2 linked regions of the Macaca fascicularis genome follow. The protein of the gene in region 1 interacts with the protein of each later gene in a pairwise test. Links are inferred from orthologs where the notes say so. Each region holds a gene or a part of one and is shown in the gene's direction. Other genes may lie near its edges. The genes, in order: NFKBID and SS18.

What was found.
Region 2: the proteins of NFKBID (region 1) and SS18 interact in a two-hybrid assay, tested with the Homo sapiens proteins (2 studies listed by BioGRID and IntAct). The two-hybrid records come from large-scale screens. The link is inferred for Macaca fascicularis from reciprocal best matches to the Homo sapiens genes NFKBID and SS18.

Annotation. Positions count from the first base shown.
Region 1 is NC_088393.1:43,133,473-43,138,063, reverse strand, and holds the start of NFKBID (NF-kappa-B inhibitor delta), read left to right. Parts: upstream 1-1,705; 5' UTR 1,706-1,770; coding exon 1,771-1,870; intron 1,871-2,336; coding exon of another isoform or gene 2,337-2,344; exon of another isoform or gene 2,345-2,460; intron 2,461-3,402; exon of another isoform or gene 3,403-4,101; intron 4,102-4,198; exon of another isoform or gene 4,199-4,300; intron 4,301-4,591. Other genes in the region: HCST (hematopoietic cell signal transducer), read right to left, coding at 165-296, 690-713, 1,429-1,532, 2,337-2,344. UniProt on the Homo sapiens protein: Regulates the expression of IL-2, IL-6, and other cytokines through regulation on NF-kappa-B activity. Functions in the regulation of inflammatory responses.
Region 2 is NC_088392.1:63,745,362-63,749,170, forward strand, and holds part of SS18 (protein SSXT), read left to right. Parts: intron 1-227; coding exon 228-361; intron 362-3,809. UniProt on the Homo sapiens protein: Appears to function synergistically with RBM14 as a transcriptional coactivator. Isoform 1 and isoform 2 function in nuclear receptor coactivation. Isoform 1 and isoform 2 function in general transcriptional coactivation.

The DNA of each region.
Region 1 (4,591 bases):
CCTGGGGACCCCCTGCTTCAGGGGTTTCCTCAGGGGTTCCCCCGGGCACCTCCTCCAGGGTTTCCCCAGCACCTCCTCCAGGGCTTCCCCAAGGGCCCCCTCCCTGGGACCCCCTCCCTAGGGACACCGTGCACCCTCCAGGCCCCGCCCATCCCTGCCCTTACCTTGGGCGGGGCTGCGGCGTGGGCGTGCGCACAGGAACACCGCCCCCACGATGAGCAGCGACGCCACCGCATCCGCTGCCACGAGGCCTGCCAGGAGCGGCAGAGAGAGGGACCCACATCCGGAACAGGAGCCTGGAGAGCGGGGGCCGGAACAGGGAGACAGTCAGGCTCTGCGTCCTGGGGCTATGCTTTGGTCACAGGGAGACAGGAAGTCCCCTGTGAGGGGTGGGTCCCAGGTTCCCTAGGGTTGCGCTTGGGGAATGAAACAGGAGATAGAGATGCGGAGAGGCTGGGTGTCCCAGGACCCTCGGGGCTGTGCAGCGGGCACACGGGGGACTCCTGAACAGAGGCTGGGGGTCGCCGATTCTGGGACTTGGAGAAGGACACGGATTGTCTGATTTGGGGACGGGAGGTGGGATGGTGACCTGGAGAGCAACTGGGGTGTTCTGGGAGCCTCTGGCCAAGCTTCTGGGATGGAAGTGACACCTGAAGTGCCAGGGTAAAAAGCAAGGAGTGATCTCTCACCTGGGGTCGTCTGAGCTGCAGCCACTGTGGAAAGAGAAAGAAGGTAGATGAGGATGGAGAGAAGGTCCACAGAACAGAATGCTCAGTCCGTCGCGGTGGCTTATGCCTGTCATCCTAGCACTTTGGGAGGCGGAGGCAGAAAGATCACTTGAGCCCAGGAGTTCGAGACCAGCCTAGACAACATAGTGAGACCCCCATCTCTGCAAGAAATACAAAAATTAGCTGAAGGTGTTGGTTCGCACCTGTAATCCCAGTTACTCGGGAGGCTGAGGTGGGAGGATCACCTGAGCCCAGGAAGTCAAGACTGCAGTAAGCCATGATTGCGCCACTGCACTCCAGCTTGGACAACAGAGCAAGACCCCATCTCAAAACAAACAAACCAAAAAATATGGTGTACGGAAGGAAAGGTAGTGTCCTGAGAAGTAATCTCCATGTTGGAGAGATGGAACAGGGCCACATGGGAAGGGGACTCCCAGAGACATGGAGAGTGACAAGAAATTGGAATTGGCAGCAGAGACCCAGCCACGAGAAGGGGATGCTAACAGGCAGCCCCTCCAGAACTCCCTGCCTCACCTCCTTCCGCCCCCAAGGACCCAGGCTCTGAAGCCAAATGGATCTCCCAGAAGGGAAGGGGTGCAGGGAAAAGAACCCCACTTTCAGCACCCGTCCCTACAGACGTCACCCAAGCACCCATTTCACAAACACTCTGCCTACCATCCCCTGTAACCACTGGCTTCACCTGGGAGCAAAAGCAGGAAGAGGATGTGACCCAGATGGATCATGGTGGGCTGGGGTCTGGCAGGGGTCTGGTAGAGGACTGTGGTCCAGAGAAGTCCTGAGGAACTGTGGGGGAGCAGAGAAGTAGCAATAGCGGATGTCACCCTGCTGGTGTCAAGGCCATCTGCTTCCTGTGTCTGTTGAGGGGGTGTCTCCGTTATTGCCTTTGGTGAACTGACTCAGGGGGAGGGTCAGAGAGACCAGGGAGGCTGCTGGCCTGGCCAAGTGGGAATGACAGGTGGCCAGCGGTGCAGGCTAGGGAGATCTGGAAATATTTTGGAGGTACGGCCAACAAAATTTGCTGATGAAATGGATGTGGGTGTGTTTGAGAGGGATCCTAGACAGCCAAGCCTTCTGGAGTGAAAAGCTGAGAAGATGGGAGTGTCTGCTGGCAGAGATGAAAGGTGGGGAAGTGGGTTTGCGGGGAAAGTGACGAGGTTTGGGCACACGGAGTTGGAAATGCCTGATAATCTCCCTGTGGAGATGCTGAATGACCTCACTGCATTTAGGAGTTCAGGGGATAAGGCTGGTCTGGAGATGTAAATTTGGGGGTTGATGGCTTATGGATGCTACTTAAAGCCACAAGACTGGGTGAGATCACCAAGGAAGTGAGTGCAGACAGGATTCTGCCTCCATCCCAACACACACTGAATGGGGGAAGAGGAGGAACTCTGCCAGGGAAATGGAGAAAGAGGGAGTAAGGGAGGGGACACCGGAGAGCTTGGCATCTTGAAAGCAGGGGAGAGACCACCGTGGTGGCTCATGCCTGTAATCCCAGCACTTTGGCAGGCCAAGGCAGGAGGATCACCTGAGGTCAGGAGTTCAAGCCAACATGGTGAAACCCCATCTCTACAAAAATACAAAAATTACCCAGGCATGGTGTCAGGCTCCTGTAATCCCAGCTACTTGGGAGACTGAAGCAGGTGGAGGTTGCACTGAGCTGAGATCTCGCCACTTTGCCACTGCACTCCAGCCTAGGTGACAGAGTGAGGCCCTGTCTCCAAAACAAGAAAGAAAAAGAAAAAGAATAAGAAAAGAAAAGCAAGCAAGCAAACAAGCAGGGGAGAAATAGGGCCAACGTGGTCAGTGCTGTGAAAGGTCACCAAGTGAAACTGACAGTGGCCTCCCACTGGAATGTCAGCTCCAGGGCTGGGAATTCCTGTCTACTTAGTTCACAGTACCCAGCAAAATGCCTCCTCTGCTGCAATGAATTATTTTAAATGATGGATGAGTAAATGAAACCAGACCTCTGAAAAGGGTGATGTAGGGGAGAGGAAGAAATTGAGCCACACCCTATACCCTTACCCACAGGCCCTTTCTCTGGGAGTCTAGACCCCCAGTCCTCCCCTCCCTCTGGACCCAGTAATATTCTCCCTGCCCCCACCCCTATCTCCATTCCCACTCCTACCCCTACCTCCATGGGCAGGACCCAGGAGACAAAGCCTCCAGCACCCCCTTGGACAGACTCAGAAATCCAGGCCCCAACCAGGCACCACGGCTCAAGCCTGTAATCCCAGCACTTTGGGAGGTCAAGGCAGGTGGGTCACCTGAGGTCAGGAGTTCGAGACCAGCCTGGCCAAATGGTGAAACCCCGTCTGTCCTAAAAATACAAAAATTAGTCAGGCGTGGTGTCCGGCGCCTGTAGTGTCAGCTACTCGGGAGGCTGAGGCGAGAGAATCACTAGAAAAGAAATCCAGGCCCCCCAGTATCCCCCTCCTCTTGGAGCCCAGTACCCTAGGCTCCTTCAGACCAAAGATCTGGACCCCAGCTCCCTCCTTCCCCAGGGACCTAGTAGTCCGCCTCCCAAGTCCACCCTGCCCATTCAGGGACTGCGTTCGCCGGAGCGCGACCCGGGGACTCCCAGGCTTGTGGGCGGGCCCTGCCCAGGACTGGGCGGTGCCAGAACCCCTAGTTTAAAAACTCGCGGGTACCGGACCTAAGATCGGGGACCCGGCGGCGGCTCCGCGGGGGAAACAGCGAGGCTGGCGCAGCGCCGAGGCCGCGGCCCTGGGGGCCCGCAATCCACGCCAAGGAATCCCCGAGGTAACGGGTGCGGGTAGGGCACGCTCGGCCCGCTAAGAGAGTGAGGGACTGAGGATCGAAAGACTCCCGAGGCCCTGAGGGACGGAGCTGGAGCGTCAGTCCTGTGTCCCGAGAGTGAGGGTCCTAGGTGTTTGGAGGAGGAGGGGATCGTGGATCGTGACGGAGGGGCGGCTGGGATCTCGGACTTCTGGGTCCTGGGGGTGCAGGGGTCTGCGGACCTAGGATCGCGGTGCCCCGAGGGTGAAAGGGCTGGGAGGTTGGACCCCTGGGTCCTTGGAGGTGCTAAGGGTTGCTGGCAGCCGAGACTCCTAACCCTAGAAGGAGGGACTGGGCTGAGCGCTGGGGGGCGTGGTTGCTTAAAATCGGCGCGGGTCTCAGTGGGGAAGGGTCCGGAGCCTGGCCTCAGGGGTCTACGCTGGCGGTGACCCTGCCTCTGCCCCGCCCTGGGATTTCCGGATCGCCACCCGTGCGGGGCTGAGCAGGAATTCCCCTTGCGCGGGGATTCCACGAGCGCCACGCTCGGCCGCGCACCTCGCCTCGGAGCAGGACACCTGGGGCACAGGCCTAGGGGGAAGGGGAGGATGGAAGATTCCCTTGCGTGAGCGCCGTGGCGTCATTGCGCCGCGTCCGGGCGGTTTCCGAGCCGCCTCCTCCCGCCCCCGCCCCCAGCAATCCCCGCTTAACCCTTCCTCCGCCGGAACCCAGGCTCAAGGGTGAGGGTTGTCTTTCTGGGTCGTGAGAAGGAGTTTGGCAACCGGGGCTCCCAGGTCCTCGAGAGGAACGAACTGAGGGTACAGACTCCTGGGGCCTGAAAGCGAGACTGTATGGATGGGACTTTTTTTTTTTTTAATGGAGTCTCTCTCTGTCGCCCAGGCTGGAGTGCAGTGGCGCGATCTCTGCTCACTGCAACCTCAACCTCCGCCTCCTGGGTTCAAGTGATTCCCCTGCCTCAGCCTCCCAAGTAGCTGCAATTACAGGCGCCCGCCACCACGCCCGGCCAGTTTTTATATTTTTAGTAGAGACGGGGTTTCGCCATGTTGGTCAGGATGGTCTCGAACTCCTGACCTCAGGTGATCCAACCG
Region 2 (3,809 bases), on another chromosome or scaffold:
GCTAGGGCATAGTACAATAATTACAGTGAAGTAGCATTACAGTATTTTTACTCTTATTGTTACCATCCAGATTTATTTCAGAAAGCATTTGAGGAAATCAAGGTACCAAACTATCTTTTTTAAGTTTAGATAGAAAAATATTGTAACATCTCTCCAGTTCAAATCCTTCCCTGAGTTCCAGGGACTTAACTTGTTATGTGGGTTTTTGTTGTGTTAATTATTTGCAGGTCCTTCACAGGGTGGTCCAGGTCCTCAGTATCCTAACTACCCACAGGGACAAGGTCAGCAGTATGGAGGATATAGACCAACACAGCCTGGACCACCACAGCCACCCCAGCAGAGGCCTTATGGATACGACCAGGTAAGTAGTTTGAACGGCTACAGAATTGCCACATTGTTTGTTCACTCTTGATTAGGTGAACTTTTTTTTTTTTTTTTTTTTTTTTTTGAGACAGAGTCTCGCTCTGTCGCCCAGGCTGGAGTGCAGTGGCACAATCTCGGCTCACTGCAAGCTCCGCCTCCCGGGTTCACGCCATTCTCCTGCCTCAGCCTTCCGAGTAGCTGGGACTACAGGCGCACACCACCAAGCCTGGCTAATTTTTTGTCTTTTCAGTAGAGACGGGGTTTCACCATGTTAGCCAGGATGGTCTCGAGCTCCTGACCTCATGATCCGCCCGCCTCAGCCTCCCAAAGTGCTGGGATTACAGACGTGAGCCACCGTGCCCGGCCAAGTTTTTTTTTTTAAATTTAACTTGAAGCCTCATGTTTCCCTCATGAGGGAATGTTTATGGTACATTTGTTAAAAAGTATGTCACTTTTGAGTCTCATACTATTTAATAACACAGTTGATCATAGTTACTCTGTCATATAAAACATGGCCGTAACATAAGACAACTACATATATCTTCTCTCTCTCTCTCTGTCTCTCTGGTCTTTACCCTCAGGCATACTTTGTTTACTGAGGTAAAATATATATACAGAGTTTATCATATTTACCATTTTTGAGTGTACATACAGTTCAGTGTTAATTCATTTATTTCCCACTCCTTGATCCCTTCTCATCCCTTTTCTTCCCAACCTCTGGTAACCTTAGTGATTTCTATGATCCTCCCTGATGTTTATTGCTGAGACTTTGCCTTGAGCTACTGAGATGTGGAGTCCATCTGTGTTGATGCTTTCATTAGCACTCCACTTCACTCCAGCATATCCACTACACTTCCTTCACACCCGTAATATCCCATCTCTTTAAATTCAAACTTTCCGCCCTCTGTTGCCTCCTTCCACACACATAACTATTGTTTCAACTGTTATTTCTCCTCTACTTGTCATTCTACTTTCAGATATTTAGAAGTGTATCTCATCCTATGATGACTGATTCCCTTGAACCCAGTGTTCATTTAAGTTTCTTCTTTTTGTCATTAAACTCCTCAGACTTGTACCACAGTCATTGTTTTATGAATGTACTTATATATTCTCTGAATTATTATGGAAATGATTTATTATGGCAATTCCTTTAGGCTGGTTTCAGGTTTGTGCTTTTCAGTGAAGGTGGTCTGGTTTGTTCACCACTTAAACTATCTAAAATAGGTTATTTTTTAACATGGAACTGTCTTTAATATGCAGTTTAGGCTTTCAGGGCCAACGTGGGTATCTGGTTTGAGGAAAAACTCAGATGCAGTGGTAACTAGAATTTGAGGCGTGAGCAGTTCGTTTATCAACCCTCTCTCACGCCTGCAACCCTCTTGTATTGGCACTTCTTATTTAAGACAAGGGAGATACAAAAAGCAAGAATAGATAAGTAATATTTTTCCAAAATATACTCGAACAAAACATAAGGATCAGTTGGAGGTTTTATTAAGTTTTAGAAGTGAAATAAGTTGTGGCTAGTGAGTATTTAAAGGCAGGATTCCTGAGCAGAACAAATTTAGGCTTATTCTAATCTACAGCTGAACTTTTTAAAAAGTGAGATTCTGATCATGTATTCCGTCATTCAACAAAAATTTATTCTCCACGTGTTTGATACTGTAGTAGGTCCTGCAGAGGTAAAATAGTCAGCTATCTTGGTCTTCCTTGACCTCACTTTAGCTATTGGCACATTTTCCTTTTTCATTTTTAAATGGTCTTCTTTAGCTTCTATATTTCTGAACCATTTTGTTCCTCTTGCGTTTACATTGGTTCATTCTTTTTTTTTTTTATTGGTTTTCCTTTTTTTTTTTTTTTTACCCTAATACCAGTTCTTGACTCTGTTTTTTTTTTCTAGCCTCTGAATCATCCTGCCCTCTATTTTCAGTATTAGCTCTTACCTCTCAACCCAGTTTCAGCTCCTTTTTATCCAAATGTACAGAACATCTCTTGTCTTTGGATTCCCTCAGCTTTAGCATGTTGTAGACTAAACTCACCATTTTCCTTTCTAAGTCAATGTATTTCCAAATCTCCTAAACTTAAAGCCGTTCATTAAGCAAATGTTTATTGAGCAACCATTGTATGCCAAGTGCCATGTGAAGATTGGGAACATATTGGGAAATAAGATAGACATGGACTCAGCCTTTATGAACTTAAGTCTAGATGGCTACAGGCAGGTAAACATATGATATGATATAGTGTGATAAATACTTAGATAAGAGAAGCTAAGATTTATGTGGAAGGAGCTTCTAACTCAGATCTTGAGAAATATTCCTTGGGAAATATTATATTTAAGTGTGAAGTACCAAGGAAGAGCCAATGAAGCTAATGAAGATTCTGAAACCCAATACTAACATAATTATAATTGTAGTTTAGGCAGATTACTCTTATAGCAATATGCAAGATAAAAGGGGAGAAATTAAAAGGGTGGAAATTGCTACGATACTTCCCCATCGGTCCTCCCTATCCCAATAAACAGTGGCTCCATTCTTCCTGTTCCTCAGGTTAAAAACCTACAGTCCTCTTTGATGCCCCTCTTTGCAAAGCAAACATCTAGTCAATTAGCAAATCTCCTCACCTCTTCCTTCAAAATATATCCAATATCTAGCCATTTTTCACAGTCTCCTTTCACCCAACTGAAAGTCACAACTAGCACTCATCTGGACTGTTGCAATATATCCTTCTTTTTGGTTTTCTTGATTTTATCCTGCCTCCTCTACAAGATACTCTGCACATGGAGCCCAGAGTAATGTTTTAAAGACATTAGTCAACTCTGTGCTTACAACCCTGTGATGTTTTAAGTAAAAGCCATATGATATACTGGCCTACAAGGCCGTATAGGACTTGTGTTCCTACCTCCTATGCTACCCTCCTCGTGCCTGCCTATTTATGTCCCAACTACTTGCTGCCCTAATTCACTCTGCTTCAGTCACACTGGCCTATTTGCTGTTTCTTATATGCATCAAGTGAGTTTCTACCTGAGAACCTTTGTATTTGCTACCCCCTCTTCTGCCTGAATGCCTGCAGTGCCTCCAACCTCACTTTATTAAAATCTCTGCTTAAATGTCACCATATCATCTCAGAGAGTCCTTCACTGACCACCTAACACAGTAGCACCCTCCATTGCATCACTCTTTTTCCCCACCCTTTTCATAGTTTTTTGAACAGCTTAATTGAAATATAATTTACATACCATTAAACTACATGTAATAAAAGTATACAGATCTTTTGTGACATGTTTATACACACTTGTGAACCCATCAGCAGAATCGAAATAATGGAGTATCTATCATGCCCAAAAGTTTTCCCTGTGCCCCTTTGAAATCCCTCCACTTGCATCCCCTTTCCAGACCATGTCACTGACCTTTTAATTAAACTGTGGATTAGTTTACATTTTCCAAAATTGT